Xenopus tropicalis: one gene and its partners. The protein of the gene in region 1 purifies or fractionates together with the protein of each later gene. This does not show direct contact. Links are inferred from orthologs where the notes say so. Each region holds a gene or a part of one and is shown in the gene's direction. Other genes may lie near its edges. The genes, in order: map4k4, strn3, strn and rap2c.

The links.
Region 2: the proteins of map4k4 (region 1) and strn3 purify together in Homo sapiens (affinity purification with mass spectrometry; 4 studies listed by BioGRID and IntAct, with this or other methods). This does not show direct contact. The link is inferred for Xenopus tropicalis from reciprocal best matches to the Homo sapiens genes MAP4K4 and STRN3.
Region 3: the proteins of map4k4 (region 1) and strn purify together in Homo sapiens (affinity purification with mass spectrometry; 4 studies listed by BioGRID and IntAct, with this or other methods). This does not show direct contact. The link is inferred for Xenopus tropicalis from reciprocal best matches to the Homo sapiens genes MAP4K4 and STRN.
Region 4: the proteins of map4k4 (region 1) and rap2c purify together in Homo sapiens (affinity purification with mass spectrometry; 3 studies listed by BioGRID and IntAct, counting the BioPlex papers as one, with this or other methods). This does not show direct contact. The link is inferred for Xenopus tropicalis from reciprocal best matches to the Homo sapiens genes MAP4K4 and RAP2C.

What each region holds. Positions count from the first base shown.
Region 1 is NC_030678.2:110,576,588-110,583,853, forward strand, and holds part of map4k4 (mitogen-activated protein kinase kinase kinase kinase 4), read left to right. Parts: intron 1-629; coding exon 630-716; intron 717-2,384; coding exon 2,385-2,618; intron 2,619-5,660; coding exon 5,661-5,822; intron 5,823-6,531; coding exon 6,532-6,762; intron 6,763-7,266.
Region 2 is NC_030684.2:113,224,865-113,232,903, reverse strand, and holds the start of strn3 (striatin-3), read left to right. Parts: upstream 1-3,439; 5' UTR 3,440-3,733; coding exon 3,734-3,952; intron 3,953-8,039. Other genes in the region: ap4s1 (AP-4 complex subunit sigma-1), read right to left, coding at 480-548, 1,683-1,769, 2,226-2,363. UniProt on the Homo sapiens protein: Calmodulin-binding scaffolding protein which is the center of the striatin-interacting phosphatase and kinase (STRIPAK) complexes.
Region 3 is NC_030681.2:49,993,321-50,001,226, forward strand, and holds the start of strn (striatin), read left to right. Parts: upstream 1-3,908; 5' UTR 3,909-3,997; coding exon 3,998-4,267; intron 4,268-7,906. UniProt on the Homo sapiens protein: Calmodulin-binding scaffolding protein which is the center of the striatin-interacting phosphatase and kinase (STRIPAK) complexes.
Region 4 is NC_030684.2:67,492,332-67,500,183, reverse strand, and holds the start of rap2c (ras-related protein Rap-2c), read left to right. Parts: upstream 1-3,256; 5' UTR 3,257-3,530; coding exon 3,531-3,803; intron 3,804-7,852. UniProt on the Homo sapiens protein: Small GTP-binding protein which cycles between a GDP-bound inactive and a GTP-bound active form. May play a role in cytoskeletal rearrangements and regulate cell spreading through activation of the effector TNIK.

The sequences.
Region 1 (7,266 bases):
TGCTAGTGTCAGTTGTATGCACCTCTTGTGGAAATCTTCTTAGCGTAAATGGAACTGCCATTCTTTGTGTTGGATATAAGTAGATACAGGGCATGTAATATCCTGGAAAAAGAATACTCAAGGAAAAAAAAAACTAGCAAAAACTAATAACACTATATATTAAGTTTAATGAAGTGAACAGAGGTGAAAGAGCCAACCAAGAGGCTGCTCGGAGCACAAGAAAGCCCACCTTATTGCAGTAGCACCTCTGAATATTGGATCTGAAAAAAAAAATATAACCTTCTATATACAGTTTAACATTTCCAAATATTTAATTCTTCAACACTACTTTACAACTTACTCATTTTTTTGGTGCTGCATTTTTATGTGAATGCCTTTAAAACAGTGGTTATTCCTTACAGGGAGGTTTTCCTTAAATTAAAAAAAAAAAAAAAAAATAGGTGCAAACATTTTTTGTGTGTAGTAAATGGGCAGTACTGTCAAAAGCATACATACATAGGAAATGTAGGTGTGTAGAAGTGTAGAATTTTTCCCTAGCACATTTTCAGGCAATGTGTGCTTTGCTAGAATTAAATCATCGCAACAGGTTTTGGGGAAGAAAAATAACTGTAGGAAATTTTGTGTGACAGGAGTATATCCGAAGACAGCTGGAGGAGGAGCAGCGGCACTTAGAAATCCTTCAGCAGCAGCTGCTTCAGGAGCAGGCCATGTTACTGGTAAAGCTCTTTGACAGTCATTGGTGCTGTAACTAACAAGTCGAAAAGCCAGCCTTGTTCAGTGCAGCTGCACAAGCTGTGTAAACAACCATAGGCAGTTTATGAGGTGTTTTGTCACATAATGGAGATTGACAAGCACAGACACTCAGATTTTCTGGGTGCACTCACATAACATGTGAACTCTCCTTGTGATGTCTAATTTGAATTTTTAACCCAAATGTGTGGGGTGGAAATGTGTTTGTGTGGCATATCAAAGGTATATTAACCCACAAATGCTGTATTGTCAATTCCAGTTATGTAGAAAGTGCCAAGCTATATTAAAGTGCCGTTCCCAGAACAACACAGTATAATGTGATTAGATGTAAATGCATCAGTGGATTATGCAGAACCTGATTAAAACATAGCTTTCTAGGAATCAAATCAAATAGCCATGTTTTCATACTTAAAAAGCAACATATGCGGCCCATGGATTATCCTTGTGTGGTATGTTAAGTGAAATATTCTTTGCAATACAGTAATTCCTAAAGGTTTAAAGTTACAAGGACACTCTCCACCCCATTGTTGCCCAAATAGGCAAATGGCATCTTTTACAAAAAAAAAAAATCTTACACATTTTGACCAAATTTGTCATCTTGATGGAATTAAATGATTTTTGATCAACAGTTGATATTGCAAGTAGAAATTTCGATATTTGCCCTCTGTAGAGCCTGAACAGTCATCTGACACACTTTGAACTATCTGGGGCCATGTGCAAATAGAACTGTCATCCTTTTTGCATGCTAATTCAACAGACCAAGTATGCCCCCACCAAGACTTTTAGTGCTGTATATCATTATACTATTGTATAGATTAAGGGTAATGTTTGTTATCCTTATAACTGCAGTAAACTGAAACATTGATCAGTTTAGTGGAAAAGTGCCCTTGAAACATTCTGCTAACCATTTATCATACTGATGCGTTTGTAACATGATATCTAGTGCAAGTCAGATGTCTGTCCTGAAGCCCCCCAGCTGTTGTTGAACCAAAACTCTTACCATCCAGATCCATTGACAAACTTTGGCTGTCATCAATTGGAATGCTCAGACCAGATGTTTCAGCTAAGAAGGAATGAGGCTGTACGCCTCTCTTATAACATGGGGTTAGCTTGCTCTCTAGTGGAACACATTTACTTGCAAAATATTTTATGAACATTAAATGTGTTATTCATTGATAGATTTTAGCTGCTCTAATAAATAGCTAGTAGTACTGACGCGAGGAAGTTTGAAAGGCCCTGTGTGATTAGAGGCATTTAATAATTAAGAGTAAATATGATTCTTTGCAGGTTACACAATTCAGAATTTCTAAGCTACCATTACAAATAACCATAATTACTAAAGTATCTCTGAGAATGTACTGTGTCTCTAAAAACACTGTTTTTCAACTAATAGCCCCCCATTTGTTGCTGAACTAACACTCCCAGTATGTCAAAAAAAGGCAACAGAGGTAGAGGAGATTTGCATTTGTACATTATCATACTGAGAATTATATTTTAGCAACAATTATCATTTTATGTATCATTCAGTCTATTTTTGTCTGTGTGTATGTATATATGAATATACTCTGTATTAATGTCTTCCTGTATTGTTTATTCTTGTAAAAACTTTCTATGACCTTTCCTGTAACCCTTAGGAGTATAGATGGCGTGAAATGGAGGAGCACCGCCAGGCTGAAAGACTTCAGCGTCAGTTGCAGCAAGAGCAGGCCTATCTCATGTCACTACAGCATGATCATAGACAGCAGCAGCCACCACAACAGCAGCCCCAGCCCCAGCAGCCTCCACTGTCCCAGCAGGAAAGGAGCAAGCAAACATACCATACCCAAGAACCCAAGCCTCATTATGAACAAGCAGAACGAATACGAGAGGTGGGGGTTTACTGCAGTGTATATGCTTGCTTACAGTTCAGGCCTTGTACTGCTGCTGTTTCTGTTCTCCATTCTAATGTTTACATTATGTGTTGATGGATGAAACTGCAGATCTGCCATGACCTGCTTTCTATTTAAAGGGATATTGTCCCTAAAATATATATTTGCCACAGCGCTAAACTGCATGGTGGCACAGCTTCCAATATTTGTCTTAAAATGTGTCCATATCCAGAAACATTTGCTATCACTAAATGAATGATTGATTAGCATGATTAACTTTCTTCTGTAGACAAACCGGCACTGAAACTAAAGCTGGCCATACATGTTAAGATTTTTATCCTGAAACGATTGTTTAAAAGTATGACTTGTCCATTAACGAAAACGACCATTTCAAATGATATTGTCTAGTTAAAGTTAGGAAAACTAGGAGTTGGACAGTGGACAACTGCAATTGTCAACAACGAAAATTTTCAAACCTGCCCAATCAGTTTTCTGACTGATGTCGTATGCAAAATCGCTAGATGTATTACTGTTAGGTGCTCACTAACCTTTATGATAATTTGCTTTGTCAGATCACACTAAAATTGGTCATTAGGGAGAGAAAAATTTTAAGTGTTTTATTATTAGTGTTTGCAGCACTGCTTGCAATTCTTCCAAGTTAGTGAGATAAGAGATATGTATTTATTTTTACTGTAATCAAGTGTACTTAAAATGTACTTATAGAGTTGTGTAAAATAGGTATAATAGATGTAGAATTGGTGTATATAGTTGGTGAATATACAGTTGCAAGAAAACCCTTTGGAATTATATGGATTTCTGTACAAATTGGTCTTAAAATGTGATCTGATCTTCATCTAAGTCACAACAATAGACAATTACAGTCTGCTTAAACTAATACCACACAAATAATTAAATGTTTCCATGTTTTTATTGAACACACCATGTAAACATTCACAGTGCAGGTGGACAAAGTATGTGAACCCTTGGATTTAATAACTGGTTGAACCTCCTTTGGCAGCGATAACTTCAACCAAATGTTTCCTATAGTTGCAGATCAGGCGTGCACAACCGTCAGCTGTAATTCTTGACCATTCCTCTTTACAGAACTGTTTCAGTTCAGCAATATTCTTGGGATGTCTGGTGTAAATCGCTTTCTTGAGGTCATGCCACAGCATCTAAATTGGGTTGAGGTCAGGACTCTGACTGGGCCACTCCAGAAGGCGTAGTTTCTTCTGTTTAAGCCATTCTGTTGTTGATTTACTTCTATGCTTTGGGTCGTTGTCCTGTTGGAACGCCCATCTTCTGCTGAGCTTCAGCTCGTGGACAGATGGCCTTAAGTTCTCCTGCAAAATGTCTTGATCAACTTGGGAATTCATTTTTCCTTTGATGATAGCAATACGTCCAGGCCCTGACGCAGCAAAGCAGCCCCAAACCATGATGCCCCCACCACCACATCACAGTTGGGATGAGGTTTTGATGTTGGTGTGCTGTGCCTCTTTTTCTCCACACATAGTGGCACATGTACTAATCCACGAATCTGATTCCCGAATGTGAAAAAATCTGATTGGAAATGAAAATTTTGTGAACTTTTCGGTGCCGTCGCGTTTATTTCATATTTTGCACACGTCACGACTTTATCGTATTTTGTGCGACTTTTTCCTCGCCGTCTCAATTTTTTCGTATTGAGCAATTCTAAACGTCGGAAAAACCAATCTGATTTTTTGGCGACGAAAAAGGCCCGACGGCGACAGAAAAAATCGCAAAAAAGCGATTATTACTAAAAAAACGCATTTGGACGCTTTTCGGACGTTCGTTGATTAGTAAATGTGCCCAATAATGTTGTGTGTTTCTTCCAAACAACTCAACTTTGGTTTCATCTGTCCACAGAATATTTTGCCAGTACTGCTGTGGAACATCCAGGTGCTGTTTTGCAAACTTTAAACGTGCAACAATGTTTTTTTTGGACAGCAGTGGCTTCTTCTGTGGTATCCTCCCATGAAATCCATTTTTGTTTAGTGTTTTACGTATCGTAGATTCGCTAACAGGGATGTTAGCAGACGCCAGACACTTTTGTAAGTCTTTAGCTGACACTCTAGGATTCTTCTTCCCCTCATTGAGCATTCTGCGCTGTGCTCTTGCAGGCATCTTTACAGGACGGCCACTACTAGGGAGAGTAGCAGCAGTGCTGAACTTTCTCCATTTACAGACAGTTTGTCTTACCCTGGACTGATGAACAGCAAGGCTTTTGGAGATACTTTTATAACCCTTTCCTGTAAGTCAACAATTCTTAATCGTAGGTCTTCTGAGAGCTCTTTTGTGCGAGGCATCATTCACATCAGGCAATGCTTCTTGGGAAAAGCAAACCCAAAACTGGTGTGTGTTTTTTATAGGGCAGGGCAGCTGTAACCAACACCTCCAATCTCATCTCATTGATTGGACTCCAGTTGGCTGACACCTCACTCAAATTAGCTCTTTGAGATGTCATTAGTCTAGGGATTCACATACTTTTTCCACCTGCACTGTGAACATTTACATGGTGTGTTCAATAAAAACATGGAAACATTTAATTATTTGTGTGGTATTAGTTTAAGCAGGCTGTGATTGTCTATTGTTGTGACTTAGATGAAGATCAGATCACATTTTATGACCAATTTGTGCAGAAATCCATATAATTTCAAAGGGTTCACATACTTTTTCTTGCAACTGTATAATATTAATAAAGATCTCCCTCACTGTTAATTATCTACCTCACAAGGGCCAAACATGAAGTAGCTTCAGGTTCCCTGTTTGCCTTGTTTTATGTCAGGAAATAACAAAAACATTAGATTTTGGTAATTACAACAATAGGCAATAGGTATGTTCTGCACAATCCCAATTAATTGAGCTCATGTTAAACGGGATCTTGTTCCTTAATTTAAATGCTTCATGTTTTTGTACACAGTATAATATTTAGTTGTAAACACATTATCAAGTTATATGAGGGTAGGGATGAATTTTCCATCTACTCTGTTGCAATGTTTGGTTGGTTTTTGTGTGGTTCAGGCAGAGGAGCGCCTTAGGAAAGCAAACCAAGGCTCCCCTGAAGCCCAGGCTAAGCAACCAGGAAGAGTTTTAGAGCCATTAGTGCCTTCAAGATCCGAATCATTTTCCAATGGAAATTCTGAGCCTGCTCAACCTGCCATGCACAGACCAGTGGAACCACAGGTATCCTAAAATTTAGCTTTAAAAGATGTTTTTTCCTATAATTGTTATGTTTCTTTTCACTTTTTTCACTATTATTATTGGAACTTTTACTACTGTTCGTTGCAGTCAATGGCACTAGTGTTGAATAGTAGAAATCCTTGAATGTTAAAGCAAATTGTTTCCCACTTAATTTTTATTAAATAAGGCTTATAAATAGGAGAAAATATCTTTATTATGTAAATGTAAAGGTAAATTAAGGCTAATTAGGCTATTTCTTATACCAATGAATTGCTTACTGATGTTCGCTTGCTGCATATACAGAGCTCAATTTATTACTTAAATAAATATGAATATTAGTCTTTGTTTTAGAATTCTTTTTCACATAGAAACAAGAGATGTTTAAGTTATAGTTTGCCATAGATTATACCAAAATGTATAAATTATTATTAAAAAAAAAATAGATATTATAAGAGATTATTTGAAGCTAGTGAAATGTTTTGAGGGCACTGGTGCTCATTTAAATCCTGTTACTGCATGCAATCATATGCTATATAACACATTAACAGCAGTTCAGTCCATTTTCAAACCATTTTTCATTACAAAACTTGTCTCTGCCGTCTTATGTCAGTCCCAGTTTTGTTTTTTTTGTTTTGCCCTTAGCTGAGCTTAGTGAGAGAACCCAATATGAAGAGCTTCCATTTAAATGTGTTATGTCTTGTTCTCTTGTAAGGTACAGTGGTCTCATCTGGCATCCCTCAAGAACAATGTATCCCCTGTCTCGCGATCCCATTCCTTCAGTGACCCTTCTCCCAAATTTGCACCTCACCTTCTACGATCTCAGGATTCGCACCAAACTTCACGCAGTGAAGTGCAAAGTCAGGGTTCTGACCCTAAGTCTGAAATCTCTGAGCCAACCCAAAGGGTTTGGGCTCGATCAGACAGTGACGAGGTGCCTCCAAGGGTAAGGATTAGAAAGAAGAACAGTAGATTCCTGTTAAGGGTTAGATTTTAACTACTAGCCACTCGGTTGGAATTGCCTGTACAATGGAATGTTGGAATTGCCTGTACAATGATTAAAACAAGGGTGTATTGCATTCTACGAGATGTTCGGTTAAAAACTCGTTATTCAGGGATCGTTTGCAACGTGCAGTATCATTCGTCATTGAATCCATTTTGTAGATAGCAATAAAATGGGCTACTAACCGTGGTCGAGTTGCAGACCAGACACTGATCTCTGAAATGCAATGAACATCTCTCTGGGGTGACAGCCCCACCCCCTTTAAAAAAAAAAAATCTGTAGGAAAAGTCCAAGTAAACGTTTGAAACAGTATGCATTTTTCAGCATAGTCCTAAAGGAGTACGGTGAACTTCTATGGGAGATACACCTTTGCCATTTGCTGCTCTACGTATTTTTCTGTAAATATAACCTGAGAGGCTGTGGAGTATGCCATCCAGTGTTTACAGT
Region 2 (8,039 bases), on another chromosome or scaffold:
TGTGCTACAGGCAAAAAATATTCTGCCTCCTCCTTGTGAATGATAGGCTCCTAGTGATAAAACTGACAAATATGGTCAGACGCTGTTTCACAGTCTGGGGCCCTTGGCTAAAAGCTTTTCCTAAAGCGAGCCCTCTGTTAAAGCCCTAGACCTACATATTTAAACAATTAATGCTCTAGTGAGATAAAGTCCCCCAGATACACTACAGTACTTCCACCATTGTCTACCTGTACTACATTACTACACTAATCACTATATGTATAGTTAAGCTCTCCACTGTAAGGAGATGCATAATACTGAACAAGCAACACCTGAATTATGTGCTGATTACACTTTTCTGTTGTTATAAAACATATACATAAAATCTTAAAAAAAATAAATAAAAAAAAAATCTTGTCTCCTCGTGGGAGAAATGACAAGGGGTCCCTTTAAGGACTTACACAGGAAATGATGTACTGGCATAGTTAATAGACACTCACCACTCTGCTAAAGTACTTGTCCAAAACCTCCACAAAATTATGAATGAGTTCAAAAACTGCCATTTCATTCTACAAAGATGGAAAGTGCAGACAGATATAACATGAATATTATCACTCGTTTATAAAAGCTAAAAGACTTGAGCGTTCTCTACAATACACTACAAACATACATATAATAAAGCAGGGTCAGTGGGTCCTGCAATAAGAACTTCCCACCTAGAGGATTAGGCACATAAGACAGAAGTGGAGCAGTAAAAATGCTCTAGGCCCTAATAATAACATAAACCTATGATACATGTGATTTCTTATTGTAGCTGGAAGAACGGTTTTCCATTAGGCAACACTAACGGGTTAATGTTCACTGGCAAGATCAGTACTGTGCGGCTTTTTCCATTCAGCTGCTAAGTTACTTGATAAATAACAATCTCTTAAGCCAAATTCCGTTAAAATTAGGATGTTATACATAAACATCCACTGGAAGGCTACATCCTGCCCCAGCACCTTCATTTAGGGCAATAAATCTGGGATGTCCAACCTGTGCAATGACAGGCAAGGCATATTGTTACAGTGAAAAAATTGCCCAAAAATGTATCACCATTGCGAGTAATAAAAATTGCTGATTTTCACTATCCACAATGGGAAGGAATTTTTGGACCTTTTGACACTGTGACATAACACCTTGTCCATCATTGCCCAGGTTGGACATCCCAAACTTTTTTAGTTTTTTTTTTTTTTTTTTACTATACTTGGAGGCTTAGCCTTCTTTCAGAGCCTTCTAAGCCCTCAAAGTCATACTGACATGTTCCTATGAAAATCAACAGAAATGTGTCAGTGTTAGTTCAAAGTTGTGGCATGAAAATCCTTCTAGCCAAAAGTCCCCTTAAGCCTAAAGCCACTCCCAGCCCAGCAATACTTGCTGAAGTCAACACTTTGACATGGCTAAAGGCTCCTCTGCAGTTATGTCAGTCACTCTGACTGAATACAGTACTCTGGCCTATGAAAAAATTGCACCAACCCCCACCCAGCATTGGTGACACAACTGCTGAGGAGCCTTTAGCCATGTTGGAGTGGCTGGGAACAGCTTTAGGGGACTTTGGCTACAAATATTTTCATGACACAACTCTTTACTAATGCTGATATGTTCCTATGCATTTTCATAGGAACACGTTGGTATCGCTTTAAGCATTTAAACCAGCACCTTACCTCAGATTCATCGATTCCAACGACAATGAAGAGAGATGCATATTGCCTGTACACCAGCTTAAAGTCTTTGTACTCTATGAAGGAACACTGATGGGAAGAGAAGAATTAGGATAAGAAGTATTATTTCTCTACTAGGAGAGAGAACATAAGAAAATCCAAAGATTAAAAGATCAAGAGAAGTTTTACTGGGGTTGATCATTGCTATTGCTCCAATTGTGAGGGTCTTAATAAATGTATAAAGTAAAATCTGCCATTAACTGCCAAGGAGTAGCAAAGAGGCACAATGGTAATATTTACACAGGGGTATTAACAATAAAGCAGCCTGGGCCCCATCCAGCTAAAAATGTAAACAAACAGTGTGTGTTGATTACATACCTTTGGGCTAGGCCTGATATTTTGCCTCACTCCATAAGGCAATATCAACATCTACCCAGAGTGTGTGCATAAGGGAAAATAAGGGTAGGCTCCATCTAAACAGATAAAAGGGGAGGTAAGGAGGCAGGGATTGTCACTATCCTACAACCTCCATAACGCAGTATTCACCTGATCCTTGGAACGTGACAGACACAATTTGATGACGTCAGATTCCAGCAGTGTCCGTCTCTGGACTTCCATGCGTTCATAGTATCTTGACAACCTGGTCTGTCCCTGCTTGTTCACAATGAGGAAGAACTTGATCATCTCTACAGACGAGCTGCTATCCAGAGCTGGAAAGGATGTATATAAAACATCAGGTTAGATGTCCTAATGTACAATGCAGGCTATAGATGCTTATAGCGGCAACAAAGGGTGTCTCTTGTGTCATGGTTTAAGGTCCTTGCTTGTTGATGGAGCAAGAGGATTTAGCACTATCTTGAACTGAAATGTACCAAACACCAGCATAAAGGTGTAAGGTGGAAATAGGAGCTCACTTATTATCAGCCTGAAACTACAGGGATCTGGTGGGATACAGATAGGGGGATTTCTGATTGGCTGCAACTTGCAGCTTACTGACCACATTTCTAAATGAGAATATTTAGAAATAAGACCAGTGTTGGACTGGGGTACCTCCGGCCAGCCACAATACCTGAACTCAAGAGCCCCCCTGCCTGTGAATGGGAAGTGGCCATGGTGACCAAGGGCCACACTGACATTTATCTGCAGGGCCAGTGAGGAGACTAAGGGCATTCTTTCTGCCCCATCCCTTTACCACTTTTTAGTCCCTACTGTCTGAACACTCTCAGGCCAGCACCAACAAGCTGCCGGTATCCCAAGCCTCAAGTCATACTATTGCAACGTATTTATACTGGCATGAAACTCACATGGAGCCTAGGGAATAGCGGGCTGCAGGCTATGGGAGAGAACAATGGCACAGGCAAGGATAGGCAGAAGCTGCTTACTGAATTCACTGTAGATACGAGGTGGCCATTGCTACTGTATGCATACTGTATGTAGTGTGTGCACAGTGAATCTAATTGGCTCCCCATTTGCTAAACCCTCCTCAGGCTGATAAAACACGTTTCTATTTAGATCACGGCTCCAGGGGCCGGCGAATAAAATCTCTCAGCCACTCAACGAAACCTGAAAGCGACGGCCGGTTACCCGTTCAAGGCGGGAGCATCCCATCAGTGGAGCGGCCGGCTAACCAACAATGATTTCCGGTAGCATTCGGCTGTCACCATTCCATGCGGAACTACGTCACTACTAGCCCTCTGGGCGGGGCGGGGATCACGTGACGCATATTGCCTTTGTGACGTCAGTCCGCTAGGCCCGCGCATGCGCCTTGACGCTGTCAGCGGGAGGCGGTGTGTGAGGCCGGTGTTTCCCAGAGTGCCCCGCGGAGCTTACCGGACCCCGGGGGGGAAGTGACAGATAACAAATGGGCAATATCAGGAGTGCGCTTGTGCGCAACTTATAGACGGGACGGCGGCGGGCTCCCCTCCGGGGGGGCGAGAGTTACCGGCCGCTCCATCTCACTGCTTCTCTCCTGACTGGCACCGGGGAGCTATTTGCCCCCTAACGGGACGCGTCACTTGTAGCGGAGTCCTTGCGAGAGGGTTGGTAGCGGCGGGATGGAGGATCTCCCGGCGGCCGGAGGAATGGCCGCGTCTCCGAGGTTGCAGGCCGTGGGTCCGGCCCAGTCCCAGGGAGCCCCATCTGAGCCTGGCTGTGAGCTAGCCAGCCGCCCCCCTCAGTACACTATCCCCGGGATCCTGCACTACATCCAACACGAGTGGGCCCGCTTCGAGATGGAGAGAGCGCACTGGGAGGTGGAGAAGGCCGAGCTGCAGGTGAGGGGTCCGGGGAACAATAGGGAGAGACGGGGGGCCCCACCGGGATGGCAGTGTGGCGCCCCCTACAGACTCGCACCCGTCTCTGGCCTTTCCTCATTCCCAGCTGAACTACATCTCCCCGCACCCCCGGCACACTCCGGCTGTGTATGAGCTGCGGGGAGTCCGGCACAGGTGCCCAGGGGGAATGCAGTGACAGGAAGCGGGGCCTTGCTCGGTTACTTTCAGGTCGCCATTTTGGCAGGCTCGCTTTTAGGGTAGGGCAGAGAGGGCATTTGCTCTGGACCCCCAGTATCTCATGGCTCCCTTGTGGGGAAGAATTGCAAGTGTGTAACAGTTGTCAGATATTGTCCCTATACAGATCAGGGGGGCAATCTGTTGCCCTCTAGCTGGGTTTTAGCGTCCCACCCACCACTGACCAGGGGTTGCTGGGAATTGTAGTTCTGCAGCGTTCATAGGGCCCAGGTGGGACAACCCTCCCACATATTGAGAGCCCAACCTTCTTGCAATGCCATGGAACCTTTCTTTTTATCTATATAGGGGCCTACGTGGCCGACATTCTGCTCCCATTAGCAGCCTCCCCCTGGGGAAGGCCTGTCTCTCCTCTCCAGCTCAGGACAGAGCAGTGACAGTGGGTAACTGGACTGTAATGACTGGGCCAAGTGACTGCCCTGTTGCTCCTGTCATTCCCAGGGCCGGCACCTAGTGATCTTGTCTGCAGGCATTCATTTGCCTCACTTCAGCTGCCCAGGTCATGCTGACCCCAGTGGGCTTGCAGGGTGACAGATAGGATTGTAAGCTGTATTAGACTTATTCCCCAAATCTCAAAGTAGCAGAGCTACACCACAGTGAGTGAGGATAGCCTATATGTGGGCTAGTGCCCAGTCTGAGCCAGGCAGATTGTTCTACATAGGTCTTTAAACTTATAAAGTGTTCCATTGGTTGCACAGGTCCATCCTGTTCTAAGATCCTATTGTATTCACAGGTAATGAAAATGCCCGTCCTTTATTTTCAAGTGCAACTTTACTTTAATCCACACATTGTTTGATCTAATCCTATGCATTCTTGTCTATTCTGCCCATACCTTTTATAAACCCTATATTAAACATGTTATAATTAAGTGCAGTGAATAAAAACTCTATTCACATTTTAACTACTGACTTAGGTAGGTATGTGTAATTGTGAAGGCCATGTATGAGCTTTTGTTTCTATCCCAGTGCTAGTACGCTGGAATTGATTGGTGGTGGTGCTCCTTTTATTATGTTGGCTAACTGTGTGTGTATGTGAATAACTGTCCTGAAACTGGGGTATTCACTAAGATGTTTGTGATACTATATCAATCAAGAATAGCTTAATTGTTGCTTAATTTTCAGTGGCTGACAATGAATAGCCTAATCAGGATACAGTGGAACCCCGATTTTACATGTCCCAGTGGATGGTGTCAAAATGGTATAAAATCTGGGGGGGAACAAGACGCCACTTGCTTGTATGGGAAAACTGAAAAACTATCAATAATGGGAAAATGTTAAATCCAGGTACATAAAATCAGGGGTTCTATTGTAATATGGCATGTTTGTCTTTGTTAATACTGATTAGTTCTATTTCTATATCCCTAGAAAGCAAGGCACATGGTGAGGGTTGGCAGGCTCTACATGTAGCCAGTGTCACATTTAGGAGAATTGGGAGAATTTTTATAAATCTAGAACTGCAACCTTCTATAAGCAGGTGATGTATCTGCCTTGCTCACAAGGCTCTGAGGTTCTCTGACTTTGGCTAGTATTGATTAGTTGTGTTTCGCTCGGCATTTGCCCAGTTTGTATGACTTTGTGTTCCCTTTGTGCAGAATATTGCTGCTATTTGAGTTCCTTTGGATGTTACAAAGATACATTAGCAAAAGGCGGCGCTTCTGATCAAGCCGTTAGCAATTCTAGTCCTGACTTCCATGCTGCCATTGCAATCAGATTACTAGTTACTTTGTATCTAAACTTCTGTAAAACTCAAAGAAACAGTTATGATCCTTCCCATTTGGCAGTAAAGTGTAAGTGTCCAACAGGGTGTCCATGTGCTGGGAATCAGCAGCAGTGTGTTACACTTAGCCTTTATGACACCATATGCTATAACCTTATCCAGGGCAGTCACAATAGAGAGAGAAGACCCAACAGCTGCTGGAAACCCAGGAGGCTTTCAGCTACTCAACTTGTACAAACCTTTTCATTCACCAGTTCTTTCCCAAATTTAACTCTGTTAGTAAGAAAGGTCTAAAAAGTTTGTGCTGTTAGGCCCATTTTACACTTACTAGTCATTTGGGCTTTCATTTTCCTGATAGACAGTTGATAAGGTGAAAATGGTTATTCAGAAATCTTTTTAAAAAAATGCTAGGTTTCAATATATTTCTGCACTTTTTGATTGCAATTGACAAGTGTTACCTGTATTATAAACACTGCATACACATTTGTTTAGTGCTGTAACTTCTGGCGTCCAATTTAACACTGGGCAAATGTAGTTGCACAAGTACTTCCCGCATAGCAACAAATTGCCAGGTTGCAATGGCTTTCATCTATGTAAGGCAGGTCTGAGAACATTCTTGTGCTTTAACTCTACAGTCAGTGGTGGGTTTCTCTAAATTCCCACTCATTGGCTGCACAGGGGTTAACACTTCTCTTGTGCGACTACACTTAAGACTTGTCATACTATTTACTGGATATCATATTGCAAAAAAACAAGGCCCTAAGAAGTGTCATCTCCTGAAAATAATTGTAACATCACCAAGTGAGATCACCTTGCTAAAGTGATAGTGGGTCAGGCTCCAGCCCTCAGTAACAAACCGTATCACCTTCCATGTCTAAATTAAATCACTTTGGAGGCACAAATATCCAGGGGACTTAAATGAACAGTAACGGCAAGCTTATGCCTCTATTTAGTGTAGGTGACAACTTACAGGTATACAGTCAACATACACCTCTATGTATTTTATTATTTAGTACAATTTACAAAACCTTGGTGCTGTGAGAAAACCAAATCTAAGGTTTTAATTTACGCAACAAGCAAAACACAAGCATATTAAAATATCTCTTATTATATCACTTTCCAGGATTGCGCTTTCTTAAACATTTTTCATTTTTGCTGTTATGTTGCCTTTTAGATTTCATAGGATTCCATCCCAGAAGCTGCAGTTGCTCTTGCAGTAAAAGAACTGTTGTTTCTTGACAAACTCAAATCCCCTCGGTGGCAGATACCATTACAAAATCCTATTCATATGTTAGGAATGGCGTAAGCTTGGCCTGTGCACAGGGCCAGTTCCTATAGCCGGAACATGTGGCTTGTTTTGTTTCCGAGCATTCCTGCTGTGCTGGAATCATCATGGCTGGCATTCTGTAGCTCTTATACTGCTTCATTACTAAGGGGCCAGGAATAGGTTTGGTTGCCTCTCAGGGAGAATTGCAGCAGTTGAAACCTGCCCTATGCCTGATGAAAGCTACACTGCAAATGCTATATCTCCCGATTGATACCTCTCCATGCCCTGCCAAGATAACACGGCCTTACGTGTATGTGCCAGTTCTTCAATATAGTGGAGAAAAGGGGAAACTCTTTTCTGAAGCAAGTTCAATGTTTTGCTAAAGAACCGGAGTATGTAACAAATGTTGCAAGGAGGACTGTGACATGGCATTGTTTGGAAACAAATAAATAAGATAACCTGTAAGAAGATACAAATAGATCTTGTTACAGAGAACATGTTGTATTCAGTTGTCATCCCCACACCGGTGTAAACACCGGTTGCATAATAAATCACCACCTTAATCACATGAATAAAGCAATATATAAGTTTTCCGTATTCAAGAGCTTTATCCACATTCTGATCTGTGCAATTTAGCCATGAATGCAGATAAGTCAAGCACTGGTCTCAATGTATTCTGCTCTCTTCTAGTGCACTTCTACTTACTGTGAGATCCATTCTCTTCACAAGTGCATTATACTATAAATGTAAGTTAATTTAAATGTTACACATGTCCAGGTTTGGCATGTATGACAAGTGTTAGCCCGAGGAGGCACTGCCCATGTACATATATTGCATTTATGTAGTTCAGAG
Region 3 (7,906 bases), on another chromosome or scaffold:
AAATAATAATCTATAATATAATAATAATAATCACTATGATGGAAATGGAAATCACCAAACCTGCCTACAGTTATAGAATGGTATAAGCAAATGTCAGAAATAAAAAAATTTGAAGAAATAGCAGCTATGACCAAAGGAAAAAATAAAACCTTCCAAAAAACATGGCTACCATGGGATACCTACCTAGAAACTGCGTAAGGGAATACAAAGCCCTACCACAGCTGTTCACGAATGAGTAAAAGTATCAAGTACCAACACCTTTTTTGTTCACTGTAAACGTTCTTTCCCCTGCTATTAATTACCGTCCTTTCTCCAAGTACTAATCCACCAACAAGGTTACTTATGCTCAGGACTCTAGAATTACATGTCTTAAACAGAATAAATTTTATTAGTTCTACAGTGCATGATAATTGTAAACCCACCCCCCTGCTTTCTGTACCCCCCTAAAATATCTTCTTAGTTAATGGCAAAAAATAAAGATTTTACAAAAAAGAGGAGGATAGAAAGCATAAACGGCAAATTACAAAAAAAAAATTCAGAAAAGGGGAGATGAAAGGAGAAAACCAGGACAGAAGGGGCCGAGGGTAAAGGGAGCATAATAATTAGCATGTAAGTGCAAAAGCAAGGTCACAAAGGGCCATTTATTTTGTTTTTCCTTAACATATTACCCTTACAGTGAGATTATTTCTCATTTATTTATTCTTATTTCTTATTTATTTATTCTTTATTATGCTGCAGAATACAAGATCTTGACTGCATGCTTGTTATCTTTCTATAATTTAAAAATAGGAGCCTGAGTACATATACTGGCAACCAACTATAGTAATATTTCTTTTATATTAGGATTACCCTTTTCAAAGTGGAAGTGCTGTTCTTGAGTGGATAGAATTGTTTGGAATTTGTCTTTTTATGCTGATAGCAACAAAAGACGTGCAGGTTAGTATAAAAATAAGTAGAAAATATCCCCAACCAGTGGTTTGTGAGCAATATGTTGCTCCCCGTGGCCTCAGTGCAAGTTCTCTTTTTTGAATTCCAGGCTTGGGGGCAAGATTTGGTTGCATAAAAACCAAGTATAATGCCAAACAGAGCCTTCGTAGGCTTCCAGTTAACATAGGTCTACCAAATAGCCAATTATAGCTCTTATTGGCACCCCCAGGAACTTTTTCCATGCTTGTGTTGTTTCCCAATATTTTTTCCATTTGAATGTGACTCACGAGTATAAAAGGTATTGAGAATGTGGAATCTCCTGAAGACCTAAAAAAAGAAACTTACAAAAGCCACAGATGAAGGAGGAGTAGAAGGTTTCCAATACTGCTTCTCAGAATTACCTTATACGGACTGATATTTTCAGAAAAATAAGCAATATAAAGTAACAATAACAATTAAACTGTAGCCTCACGGAGCAATCGTTTTTGGCTTAGGGGTCAGTGACCCCCATTTGAAAGCTGAAAAGGCAAATAATTCAGAAACTATGAAAAACAAGACTAATTAAAAAGTTGCTTAGAATTGGCCCTTCTATAACATACTAATAGATAACTTAAAGGTGAACCGCCCCATTAATAGTTATTATAGAGAGTTATTAGTTTTGTTAGACAACTTTAAAGGCATGGGTACTATAAAGGATTATGGAATTTCTAGCCATATTCATTTAGAAGGTTTACTTTTCATTTTCCAATGAAAGATTTGTGATGATGTGTGCAATTAGTGGATACTGCTTTCTCGGTTTCAAAATTACACAAAAAGGCAATGTTTAGGACTGTCTAAGGCCTCTTCAGATATCCACTATATCATTACACCATATTGTCAAAGACTATACACCTATTTAAAAAAAACAACTTTCTATTAAGACCATGTGATGGACTATGCAGTCTATTAATCCACTGCATCTTTAGTTCATTTCACATCAGTATGTTGTTGCCTCGTTTCTGAAAATCTCCATTGAATCAATAACCTGAAAACGCAATTAGATAACAAAATGTTTAGTTTGTTGAAAATGTGCTGGTACAGTTGAATGCTTAAGTGGGTGGAGAGTGGTGGATTTGTGTTTAGAACTGTGATACATGGGTGTATATGGTTGAACCTGTTTTTCAGAGTCTGATATATAATTGGCTGGTGTCTGGCCTAAAGAGTAGTTATACATAGTAGCAGCAGCAGTATGAGAAAAATGGGTGAGCATTACCCATGTCTGCCAGTCTGTACGGTGACGTCATGGCGGGGCCTTGTTAGTCTGAGTTATGTTATTCTTTTCTTGTGAAATTTTTAATAAAAAAAAAAATAAAAACCCTCTCCTTCCTAAAACTTTGCTGCCCGCTACAGACTAGGAGCAGGGGGCAGCCATGGGCAGGATGTGGAGGGGGAGCAGTAGCGGTTGCTGTTGGGATGACTGTGCATGCACATGTACCCCCTCTACCTATGTCTGTATTAATAAGTGAGAGACAGGGACTTTGCCGTCTCTATTACTTTATTTTACCAATTTGCATCATGCCATAACACAAAGTGGTGCTCCACCAATCTGTAAATAAATACACTGGTCTTATATTTTTGATGTATTCTAGCCTTAAAGTCAAGCAAGAACATATATAACTAATGGTTTTGTGTGTCACTTTTTTTGACGCCCAGTTTATCTGTTTCTTTAAGCAAAATCACACTTAATTTCTTGTGTCTGATGTAAATGCACATAATACATATTAATGACTTCTCTGAGAAAGCCAAATGATCAAATTAGCCCAATATCGCCCACTTTTAGGTGGGCATATTGGGAAAAGATCTGCTCACTTTGCTACCTCGCCAAAAGATCGAATCTTACAGTGTATGGCGACCTTTACTGCAGACGGGGGGAGGGGGGGTTAAATCAGGATGACTTTTGAGAAATAAAGGGGAGTAAACATGGCTGACTATAGATATTGCTTTGTTCATCAGTTGTTAAAATGTAATCTTCTGTTGCACCATTTGAGCTAGTGCCCAGCACATGTGCAGATGAGTGGAGCAGATAGCCAGAACAACAGTAAGGTGGCGATTTCATGTATAGTATGTGTATGGTCTGATCAACTGGACAATGTGTGGGATGGGCCCATGTAACACTCCACCTTAACACTCCATTGAGCAAGATATGTTGTAAGGGGGCTTTCATTAGGCAACAGGTAAAGATGTATAAACACAGCACAAACACTGGAATAAAAGCTAGAATATTTTGCTTCAGACAAATATAAATAGTACATGATGTGTTGATTTAAACAAATAATTTGATATATTTTTATGTTGCTAGTTCATAAAAGGAGAATGGGGGTGCCAACGTGTTACCCATCCCAGTGAATAAAATTGCCTACTTTTTACACTGGTCTGACACTACCTGTGGACTGGTCCTTTCCAGTGCAGTACCACAACACTATCTTCCTCCCTTCTTTCAGTTATTCCTTGGGCAGTAGCAAAGCTTTGGAGTTGATGTCTGCTGACCTGCCATTTTCCTATACCCGTGTTATGAGTCTAGGGGGACCCTGACTATCATTAGGTTGAGATTTTTTTCCACTTCACACTGAATGGTATGGCCTAAAACATGGCCGATCATTATCACATTCACGATATGATCTCTGGGTGCTTGAACTGAAAAAACACGGCCATATATGTCACTATGAAATAAAGCTGACCGAAAAAAAAAAAAAAACCCTTCTCACAGGAAGCCCGACTGGAAGGGCGGTCCCGAACGCTTGGGCTGCGTGACGTCACTAGCCGCTGTCAGAGTGGCAGGAGACCCGCCCAGACAGCAGCGACAGCCTGGCTTCCTTCGAGTGTGGGCGGCAGCGGAGCCCGGGTTGCGGTGGATGTAGGGGCGGGAGATTGGACGGCGGTCAGGACGTATGTTACGTGACAGGACCGTTCCATAATCAAACCTTATCGCTTGCTTGCGGAGTGGACGCGCTCGCTTTCCCTTCTTCCCTCTCCGGAGCCATCGGTGGCGGCCCCTCGCTGTTAACCGCGGCCCCTGCCACGGAGGGCGGCCATGGACGAGCAGGCGGGGCCCGGCGTATTTTTCAATAACAATAACAATTCGCTGCTGTCCGCTGGTGCTGGCCCAGGTGGTGCCGGGAAAGGGTTCGAGGCTGGTGCAGCAGATGCGGCCTCAGTGGCCGGGGGAGGCGGAGGAGGAAGCGCTGGTACGGCTGGTAGGGCCCAGTACAGTATCCCTGGCATCCTGCACTTCCTTCAGCATGAGTGGGCTCGCTTTGAGGTGGAGAGAGCTCAGTGGGAAGTGGAAAGAGCCGAGATGCAGGTAAGGCTGGGGGCTGCTACTGAGCCCAGGCGTCTGTCACTTTCACCTCTACATTCCCATATGTGAAACGTACAAGAGTTTGGCGAGAGCTTGCCTGCATGTGTGAGCTGTGTGCCTGTGTGAGCTATATGTGCCTGTGTGAGCTATGTGTGCCTGTGTGAGCTATGTGTGCCTGTGTGAGCTATATGTGCCTGTGTGAGCTATGTGTGCCTGTGTGAGCTATGTGTGCCTGTGTGAGCTATGTGTGCCTGTGTGAGCTATGTGTGCCTGTGTGAGCTATATGTGCCTGTGTGAGCTATATGTGCCTGTGTGAGCTATATGTGCCTGTGTGAGCTATGTGTGCCTGTGTGAGCTATATGTGCCTGTGTGAGCTATATGTGCCTGTGTGAGCTATATGTGCCTGTGTGAGCTATATGTGCCTGTGTGAGCCATATGTGCCTGTGTGAGCCATATGTGCCTGTGTGAGCTATGTGTGCCTGTGTAGGCTGTGAGCCCAGGAGCAGGCAGCCTTATATCTGAGTGTGTGAGCCCAACTGGCCATGGAAACCAGGGCTCCCATTTATACACGAGAGGAATATGATGTGTGGGAGGAGACCCTCACAGGCATGTACAGTATCAGGCATGTACAGTATGTGTGAGATCACACCCAGACATTCTATATCATGGGAACACCTGAACTGTGTTTGTAAGCTTCTACAGTTCTGACTTGTGAACATCATCATTACTTATTTACAATATCTTCATTTGTCATTCTGTGATGTTAGATATTGACAGTCATAAGGGTAAAGAAAGATCTCAATGAACTGTTTTTTTGCCCAGTGAAAGCAAAAGTACAGTCATTTCCTAATATTCATTAATAAAAAAAAAATAGCGGTTTGTGTTTATCCCTTGCTGTTCCCTGGTTCTGACTTTTGGAACAATGTCGCAGAAGTCAGTTCTCCCCCATATCTTCTAATTAGCATCTGCTACAATGTTTCAGGGCTAGGAATCAGAACTGTAGCTTTGGACTGGAATTGCATTTGCAAATAATTTTTGTAATGTGAATAATAGGTGTTGGAAAGTTGCTTGGAATCTTCTTTGTCATTAAGCAATGTGGGTAATTTTACACATGCTTTTATCTGTCGGCACACATAAGTTGACCTCCATTTTATTGAAACACCATCTATTCAGTATTTAGCACATGTATGATGTGCACAGTGATGTCATGTGTGCCATATGTGTAAGCTTACGTTAGGTATATTTCAAATGGAAATGGAATGGACCCACTGCTGGCTTCTGTTTACACAGAAACAGATCACAAACTAATTTGAACTTGCTCTTGCCCTACATATGGAGGTTACTGAAGTTTCTAGATATGTAGACACGTCAGCCCATTGGCTCATACTGCATGCATGCATACATCCACAAAATCTTATTTATAAAAAATTTTAAAAAAAATAATGTACCCCTTTCACCTCAGATTGACTTTGTATACAATAAAACCATCATCAGTCATGCTGTTGCTGCATGTGGGTTAAAGTTTATGGACACTACACATAATTTTTCACTTCCACTAACAAATATCTCTTGGATGGGGTCTAGTATTTTACTTTTAAAGGAGAAGAACAGACATACAATACAAGAATTCCAATACTTTCCTGCATGTTACATTTATGTATACATTGTTACACTGGTATCCATATACATTATGTTCACTCTGTCTTTACGTGTACAAATGTTAACAGTACTCCAGCCTACATAAGGATCTCACCACCCCAACCCTAGCATTGCTGACACAACCAACTCTATGCTCTCAAGTCAGTATCAGACCTGCAATTACAACTGGGCTGGGACTGTGTTAAAGGGAATTAAATGAAAATAATAGAGCTTTCCTTATTTACTAATAGTACTGACATGATCCTGTCAATTATAGGATCCTGTCAATTATATCGGTTTTGTGAACCAAGTAGTTATGGCTTATACATTTTGATTACTCTATGGTTTGCACTTTGGTTCTGGCAAAAAACAACAACATTTTTTTAAAATACAAATCGGAGGATGTTCAGAACAGTAAATAGTTGGCGGCCACCAATTGTACAAAAAATGACTTCCATTTTAGGTCCCTCAAGGATATCGTCCTTATACAATACAATACACGCACAGATTTTTTTAGTTAGGGGACAGAAATTTTCTAACCTGACTAATTGACTAAATGACCAATCACCATGGTAGGAAAATTATTGGATGCTAATTCAGAGCCCACACACGGTCCGAAAATTGTACAAAACTAGGTTTCATATGATTTTATCAAAACGTGTATGGCCAGCTTTAGCTTTTACTAAAGGGGTAAATATCCCATCATGGTGGCTTAGTAGTTGGTACCACTTCCTGCAGTGCTGGGATTCTGAGATTAATTCCAGCTTTGAAACAATCTGCAAGTTCTTCTTGTTCTCCCTGAGCCTGAGAACACTTTTCCTACAGGTGCTTTTTTTTCCTCCCACATTTCAAAAGATACATAGGCAGGTTAATTGACTCCTGATAAAATTGATCCCTACTGTGTGTAAATATGATAGAGACTTAAGGTTCCCATACACGGGCCGATAGTAGCTGCCGATATCGGTCCCTTGGACCGATTCGGGCACTTCCGACGGGATCGGGCCTGATGGGCCATAGGGCAGGTTAGAAAATCTAGTTGGATCGGGCCGATGCGGACCCCGGACCGACTTTACCTTTGCCCGTCATTATAATTCGATCGTTTGGCCCTATGGCCAAACAATCGAATTCTCCGGATATCGCCCATCCATAGGTGGGGGATATCGGGTGAAGATCCGCTCGCTTGGCAACATCGCCAAGAGAGCGGATCTTATGGTGTATGGGGACCATTGTAAGCTCGACTGGGGGAGGGATGTGAATGATGTATAATCTCTGTAAAGCGCTGTGTAATGTGTTTGTGTTGTATAAATAACAGATACTAATCATTGAATATTGTCCAGTAATACTACCTCAATTATGGAAGCATATAAACTGGTCACAAATGTTAAAAGATGGATTCATAAAGTGTCAGTTTTCCACAAATAAAACCTAAAACACGATTTTGATTTTGCTGTTGCAGTGTCTGATTCTTTTAAAGGAGAAGGAAATGTTAGGCTCCCCCCAGTGATTGTAATCACTTACCTGTTACCCCGGGCCAGTGCCTCTTTTAGCAGGAAACTGCACCGACCTGGGATACCTGCGAGCGATTCTCTTCCTTCTTCTTTCTTCATGCCTCTTGCGCATGCGCAGTAGAGCGAAAAGCCAAACTTAAACCAAAAAAATCAAGTAAGTGATTACAATCACTGTGGGATGCCTAACATTTGCTGATTTTACCTTTCCTTCTCTTTTAAGTGCCATTTCCCAACAATTGACACCATAGGAACAGTGTCCATACACTCAGGTTTGTCTACATTGATGTAGCAGTGAGTGGTTTCATGAATCTAGAAGCAGAGCTTGCAGTTATTGTCCATGATATTCCATTGTGGTTTAGCCAGAAATAAGTTTTATGGCACAATATGAAAGTTAATGTAATTTTTTGGATTCTTCAAATACCTTCTTTATTTTAAAATTGATTTTTTGGTGTATTTATTCCTTATGGTAAGGATACTAGATATTTTGATTTATCTG
Region 4 (7,852 bases), on another chromosome or scaffold:
TAATATGATTAGGAGGGAGGGGGAAAGTGAGGACTGCAGTGACATCTACATCTACATAAGAATGGAAAGCAAAAATCAGGCATAGAGGCTGGGAAGGCAATATATGATTGACAGCTGGGATTTTTAAATGCCTTTATAATGGTTAAGGATGTGTTAATAAAAATAGGAATTTGGATTTTATGTTTAATTTAAAGGAGAAGGAAAGGTAAAAACTAAGTAAGCTTTATCAGAAATGTTTATGTAAATACAGCCATAAGCACTCACAGAAATGCTGCACTGTGTCCTCTATAAAAAGAAACACAAGATTTCTTGTCTCCTATTTTGTAAACATGTTCTTTGGGTATCTGACTTCCTCTCTCAGAAAAATCCTTCATTCCCTGGGCCAGAGTCTGTGATGTTCTCTCCCCTCTCCCTTAGGAATGTGTGATCTGAGCCTTAAGGGCAAAAGCTGCAGCAGGAAGCTATGAAGACCAAGCTAAAATGGCAGCTGCTATCTTAAACAGAGAAATCTTCTAGTGCTCTTTACTCAGGTATGGTAATGCTTTCTGCAGAATAAATATAGTGTTCTAGGTGGCACTAATGTGGCAAATCTATTGGCAGTAAAATACCAAAATGACTTTCCTTCTCCTTTAAAGGAGAAAGAAAGGTAAAAACTAAGTAAGCTTTATCAGAAAGGTCTATGTAAATACAGCCATAAGCACTCACAGAAATGCTGCACTGACTTCTCTGTGAAAAGATTCCTTGTGTCTGTAATTCATGTGCCAGAGATATGCAGCTCTCTGCTGTCTCCTCTCTACTGCTCCCCCCTCCCTCAAGAATGCTAAGAACTCACTCCCCACCCCCTTAGGAATGTGGATCTGAGCCAATCAGCAGGAAGCTGACTGGCAGTATGCAATTTCATAATTTGTTTAAGGGATGTAATGCCTATAAAGTTAACAATTTCACAAAATTATTTTCTTTACAGAACTCTTGTTTCCATCATTCTCCTGATTAACATGTGGTACCCCCAAAGTCAGAGACTTAGTATTATGCACAGCCACTTGCAGCTAAGAAGCCTTTCTACCTAAGAATATTTAATTTCACCTGGCCCTGATTTGAACAAAAACAACTTCATTTTTGGCCAAAGTGGGAAAAAGGGCTCTGATGGTGGCAGGTACGTTTGGAAACCAGGAAAAATGTCTTGGGGCCTGTAATGCCACCATTAACAAAAAAAAAAAAAACTAAAGATTAATGTTGGTACCCATTAAATTATCCTAATTAGCCCATACATTGGTCCTAGATTGCTAAAAATATTGACCTAGTCTTAACATAAAACACTGAAAATAACTAAAACTCTGTTTATGGTTAACTGGTGTGCCAGCACTGGTCTTCACAAATGCCCTTTCTGCAAAGTGGACAGGGAACCTGCACACTCAGGCCCTGGGAACACAGAGTAGTTTGCGGATCTTCCATACACTGCTCCGTGTGCCTGCACTGCAAACTACAGCTCCCACCTCAGGGCAGGCACACACAGGAGTGGAGGTCGGCCCAAAAAGTGCTGAAGCAGGGGTTTTCTGGCCGACCTACACTCCGCTCTGTGTGCTGCCCTGAGGTGGGAGCTGTAGTTTTCAGTGCAGGCACATGGAGCAACGTATAGACGTGGATCCGCTTCTCTTAGACTGACAGGAAAATGCAGTAAACAAACCACTCCGTGTCCCCAAGGGCTAAGGACCAGAGGAAACAAGAGTAACCAATTAGTTTTGGTCAATTTCACCCATTGTCTCCTCCTAAACTCGCCCTTGTTCTATCCCTTAAGGGTGAAGACACATGGAGCTACTAGTAGCAGCTACTTGTAGTGGCTTCTGAACTAGACAATGCAGATCATTTACTGATAGTTGTCTCTACGTGTGTTTTAGCAGATGCAATTCTCAGTATTGTCTATGGCAGGGTATTTTCTGGAGTTTAGTAGCCTTGAAAAAGTAGCTGCTACTAGTAGCCCAGTGTGTCTTCACCCTAATTGGTAAATATCTGCCCCTTGTTTGCACAAAAATAGCAGCACCCTCAGACAGCATCCTAAAACACGTAGGGTTAGTTTTTTTTTATATATTTTTCCACCCATTGACTGCTCCTGAATTAGCCATTATGTGGAAAACCTGGCCCATCTACAAAAAAAAAATACTAAAAAGATCATTAATTTCACGAGGACCAAAAAAAAAACCTTTTTCCTTTTTAATCAATTTTGGAGAAGCAGCTCTGATGGCAGCAAGTACTACTGGCAACTAATAGAAAAATGTTTTATTTTTCAATTCCCTGGCGCATACTACTTATGCTCTCAGCAGAAAATATAAATGCCTTCTGAGGCAACATTGTGGGCAGGGCGGCAACCAACACAAAAAAAAAAAAAAAAGTATTTTTCTGTTCTCTAACACATGTAGGAGGTGCGAGCAGAGCAAACCAGTCTGTGAGTGGACCTACTTCCACTTCTTAGCTGCTTCCGACTGTGTATCTCTAACTTCCGCCATCCCTGCGTTTCACTCCAACCAGGCGGCTACGAGATGCGTCATTGCGCTTGCGTGTAGTCGTGACGCCACAGTCTCGCGTGATGAGACTTGTGGCGTTGGGATTTCCTGTAAGACAGGCGGCAAGGAGCTTGCAATCAACAGCTTTGCGGGACGTGTGAGTAGCCATCCGGACTGCGGGCTGTGTTGGGAAAATAGGGAGTGTCCGGGGAATGCTGGACTGTTGGGGATTATGCTTGGAGGCCTTCAGAGTTTGTATGCTTGTACTAATGTAGAGGGGCCTCTGTACTGGTACATACAGAAAAGATGCATTTGTTGCCCTTCACTTCAATGGGTAATTATCGACTTGGTCTCTTTTGCTGGGTCAGTAGCCTCATTGCCCATGTGTGGGTGTCAGAATATTTGTCTCCTCTACTGATTTCTGAACAGGGCTCGAAATAATGAGGTTTTTTTTGGCAGAGGCATCAATAATCATATCAACCAAAATTGCCCCTACGAAATGGCTGGCTAATGGGGCAAAGAGTCTGTAATTCTGGCCTAATTATTAGGTTGTGAATGTCCTGCTTTATGGAAGTAATATAACTTGTGCCTGTAAATGTAGAGACAAAAACAATGGGGTGGTTGTTCATTTCCTGTTTAGAGTAATACTCTGAAATAGCAGGAATCTAGGTATGTGCATGACTGCTTACTTCCATAATATACCATTTATCATTTTTTGAATAGATAACCTGTTTGTTTGTCTGTATTTTTCTTATTAGTTCTGCTGTGACAGTTCAGGAAAGAAACTTACCTTACTATTCTCATTTGAAGTTGAACTGCTTCCTGGTATTGGACCCAAAGTAGGCTGTGCAAAGCAAGAACTGCCTTTTGTACTCTGAATCATCCAGCAGAATCATTTCAACAGTCTCCCTAGATAACAACACTGTTTCCAGGAGGATATAACCAACTTGGATCCTAAGTCAGAACACTAGCCCCATCTTCACTCCAACCTGACGTGGTGTATGTGCTGTGTGACCCCACTTGTCCGAGCCCATGAGGGAGTACAAGGTGGTGGTGTTAGGCAGTGGTGGGGTTGGGAAGTCAGCCCTAACTGTCCAGTTTGTTACGGGCACCTTTATTGAAAAGTATGATCCTACAATTGAGGATTTTTATCGCAAAGAAATTGAGGTGGACTCATCACCCTCTGTGCTGGAGATCTTGGACACAGCAGGCACAGAACAGTTTGCTTCTATGAGGGATCTTTACATTAAGAATGGCCAGGGCTTTATCTTGGTGTACAGCTTGGTAAATCAACAGTCATTCCAGGTGAGATAACCAGTTCCTTCACATACAGTGCCAAGTATGAATGAAAATGTTACATGTCAGTGAATTTTTAAATAGTTTACTATAGTGATGCAAAGAAACACCCATTGCTACGTTATAGAAATCTTGCTGATTTGCCAGATTTTGCTTTGCACTTACAGAGGCAGCATACCTCTTAAGATTAGTTAAGCTTGTGCTGAACATACTTTTTTCCTATTAATTAAGACATATGTGTTGGCTAAAGAGAGTAAGCATTAAAATCGAGTAATGTCACATGCTACTTCCTGTTTATACAAGCACAATTGAGAAAAAAATCACTAATCCGCTAAGAGGCCCTTTGTATAATAAGCTGCTCTTCTCACAAAGACTGCAGTCGGGGAAGGGGTTTGTTTATGCAGAAGGCTTCTCAGTGGATTTTTGGTGTGTGCTTTTAGAAGAACAAAAGTAGAGTATGACCTATTTCAGTTTAAGATTTTGCCAAATTTAGTTTAAACAACAACAATTTCTCAATTAAAGCAACAGGCAAAAAGTATGTTCACCACAAACCATATCCTCTGACAAAAAGCAAATTGTGCACCTTGGATTTAAAAATCCAATATCTTTATTGTTTCAGTATAATAACATAGCGCAGCTAAGAGGATTTCAGAGGAGATCAAAGGCTTTATGTGTTTAATAGCCCCAGGCTACTTTTTTAGAACCACAAACCATATTCATTGATCTAATGTTGAAGAAGAGGGTGTACTGCCCCTTTAACCTGGCCATATGCTGAAAATTCAAGTTTGGCCAGTTTGCCAAGCGAGTGGATCTTTGCCCAATTTGGCCACCCACGGGATGGCATACGTGCTGTGTGTCAGGGAAGTACATGTATAAATATCTCACTTTGGGTCTGTCAAGCCCTATAACTGTTATTATACATCAGAAGTTAAATGTTTTCAGAGTATGTGAGCTGTATAAAGGCTATTTCTGACTCTTTCTTTTTGTGGTCACATAACTTTTTGGAGATTTCTAATATTTTTGGAATTTACAGTAGGGCCACTGTATAATATTTTTTTCATAGTTACTATGGTTTTCTTGTGTCAAAAGACCAGTAAGTCATAAAGGGATTTATTTTTTTACATTTAATGTTCATCCAGCACCTAATATACTGTTTATTGACAAATGTAGGGCCTGTTTTGTATAAGAGTTTTTCACTCTGTAGTTATGTAGAGAGTCATTAAAGGGATGGTTCACTTTTAAGTTAAAATGTAGTATCTTATATAATGGCCTATACCTAGCAACTTTGCAAGTGGTTTTCATTACTTATATTTTATAGTTTTTTTAATTATTTGTCTTCTTTCTCTGACTTTTTCCAGCTTCCTAATGGGGTCCAAAAAAACTATTGCTTTGTGAGGCTGCAATTTCATTGCTGTTACTTTTTATTACTATTCAGGCCCTCTCCTATTCATATTCCATCTCTTCTTTAAGAGTACTTTTATAAAAAGTTCTGCTTGGATTAAGCACTGTAATGATTAAACTGAGCTCAGGAGAGGAGGTTAGGAGAGAAAAACATTTCCCCAGCAGAGTGCACAGCTAGAACAGAGTTTCTATGGGAACCAGCAGTGCCATCTCTTCATTGGCTGCTAGACTGGATGGGATGTCTGGTAATGAGTTGAGAAGAACTGTGCATGCTCAGTTAAGGTGGCCATAAACATGCAGATTTAAGCTGCCGATTTGAGTCCTTTAGACAGATTCGGCAGCTTATCTGCCCATGTATGGGCATCCCCGACCGACATCTGGCCTAAAATCGCCCAGACATTGATAAGGCAGGTTTGATTCTCCGTTGGATTGGGAAACACATCGGCTCATTGATGCGGTCGTTGGTCTGATGACACCTATGCCCACCGTTTTAATTGGACCATTTGGCCCTAAGTTTGTTTCTTCTTTAGGGTTACTTTGTTTACAAAAAGCATAACTCTAATTCCTTGATATTTATATTAAACAATTTGTAATAAATCTGTTACTAATATATATCAATTCTATCAATTGTGTGTTCATAAACTCATTTACATAGATTTCCATTTAATCTAAAAAGAGTAACATTTCAGCAATCCAGAACTGGCAGTTTCATGCAATTAAATGGTAACTGTTTAGATTAAATGTTTAAATGTCATATAAACCACCCACAAAAAAATATAATCCGTAAACAGCCTCTTTGAAATCTTTAAATATTTGCCACTCTGGTTTTCAAAAATTAATAGTAAGGCTGCAACATCCCCTTAATCACAGTATTCCTTATCCTCTTGTAGCCCACTCAGCCCCCTCGCTCAGGAATTTACAATGGCTGTTGGCTACTGAGCACACTCAGCTTTTCTCGGCTCAGATTAATAAACACGCCCTCTCCAGTCTAGCAGCCAGTGAAGAAATTATATTGCTGGTTCCCATAGAAACTCAGCTCTAGCTGTCTGCTACAGTGCTCAATCCAAGCAGGACTTTTTTTTTTTTAATCAAAGTAAGTTCTGTCTGTGTAAGCCTGCATTTTTCATTGCATGAATGTTACATCACACATGTGCTGTTTGGAGATGTAAATGTCACTGATGATGCGTCAGGGAAAATGGCCACCAACTATTTGTTTTAGGAAAATGTGATGTTTCTGGCAAAAGGAGGGGATATATGCAGTACAAATGATGCCATTTGGGTGTGGGAGGCATGCCCAACTGATATACTTTGTAGGCGAATGTATGCTTTATATGTCCTTTAATGTAATTTATGAAGCTAATCTATTTTGCTATTTCGGTTTATTTATAAAATCTTCCAAGATATTGTTTACCCAGCATCTCACTCCCTGGCAGCAGCACTGATCTTTTGTACAGCAGCAACAATCTGCAGTTTCTTTCAGAGCAATATGTATTTTTTAGTGGTTTTTCCATTGATCAGCTTACTCTGCCATTCTGTGAAAGAAACAGTAGGGGCAATTAGTTCCCCTCTAACAGATTTATTGCTATTTCTGAGTTGCTCAGAAAACATTAGTTTTGGATGTGACCTGACATCCTTTTACCTGTGTCTAACCAAAATATACCTGTTGGATTTGTTTTTTTGCACCGGACCATAATGTCTGCCATAAGTAAATGTCAAGAAATCTAGCTGAACAGCTTTTTCTTTTATTCTTTTCTAACATTTAGGTTAGCTCATGCTTAAAGCTCTCCCCTCCCTTTAACTTTTCTTCCCCCAACAGAATACCTTGGTACGGTCAGTAAGCAAACCGCTTTAAACAAACAATAATGCCAAAACATGAAGTGTATAAAATTAATTACAATTTAATGTACTGTTGTCCTGCACTGGTACAACTCTACTAAGATTTATGTAAACAAAGCTGCATAGCCATGGGGGAGAAAAGGCACAGGTTACATAGCAGATAACAGTTAAACACCATTGTGATCTACAAAACTTATCTGTTATCTGCCTCCGTGGCTTCACAGCAGCTTATTTTATATAAACTATAGTAGTGTTCTAAAAAAAACTACTTTCATCATTGAGGGCCACACTATATTATAATTACTTGTAATTAAATTTACATTTTTTGGTGTTACTCTTCCTTTAAGCAGATATTCCAATAGCTCATAGAATTAGCTTAGATGGCAAATGCTTTGTGATAGGCAATATGTAAGCTATGCCAAATTAAAGTATTGAATTTAAAATATGCCATCATTGGAATTAAGGGAGAGGCTTTCATCAGAATATGATTTAGTTAATGTAACTCGTACAGGCTAAATTCTGTAACTAGGGGTTATATTCTCCCTGCAGTTTATTCAGTGCTGTATCTGCGAACTAAAGATTAATGGCACTCACAGCATTTTTCTGGCGGGTGGTTTAGTCTGTGGAAAACTGCTTAATACCACACACCCTTCAGTGCACACACACTTAGGGAGCAGAAGGCAGCAGATTTGCTTTTCAATGCTGGCATAAATACACCAGCAGATAAAATGATGTATGCCATTATCCATAGGGTAGGAGCACATGCAGGCGAAGGAAATCTGATGATTTATTGTCATCCACTGGGGCTATATAGCCATGTA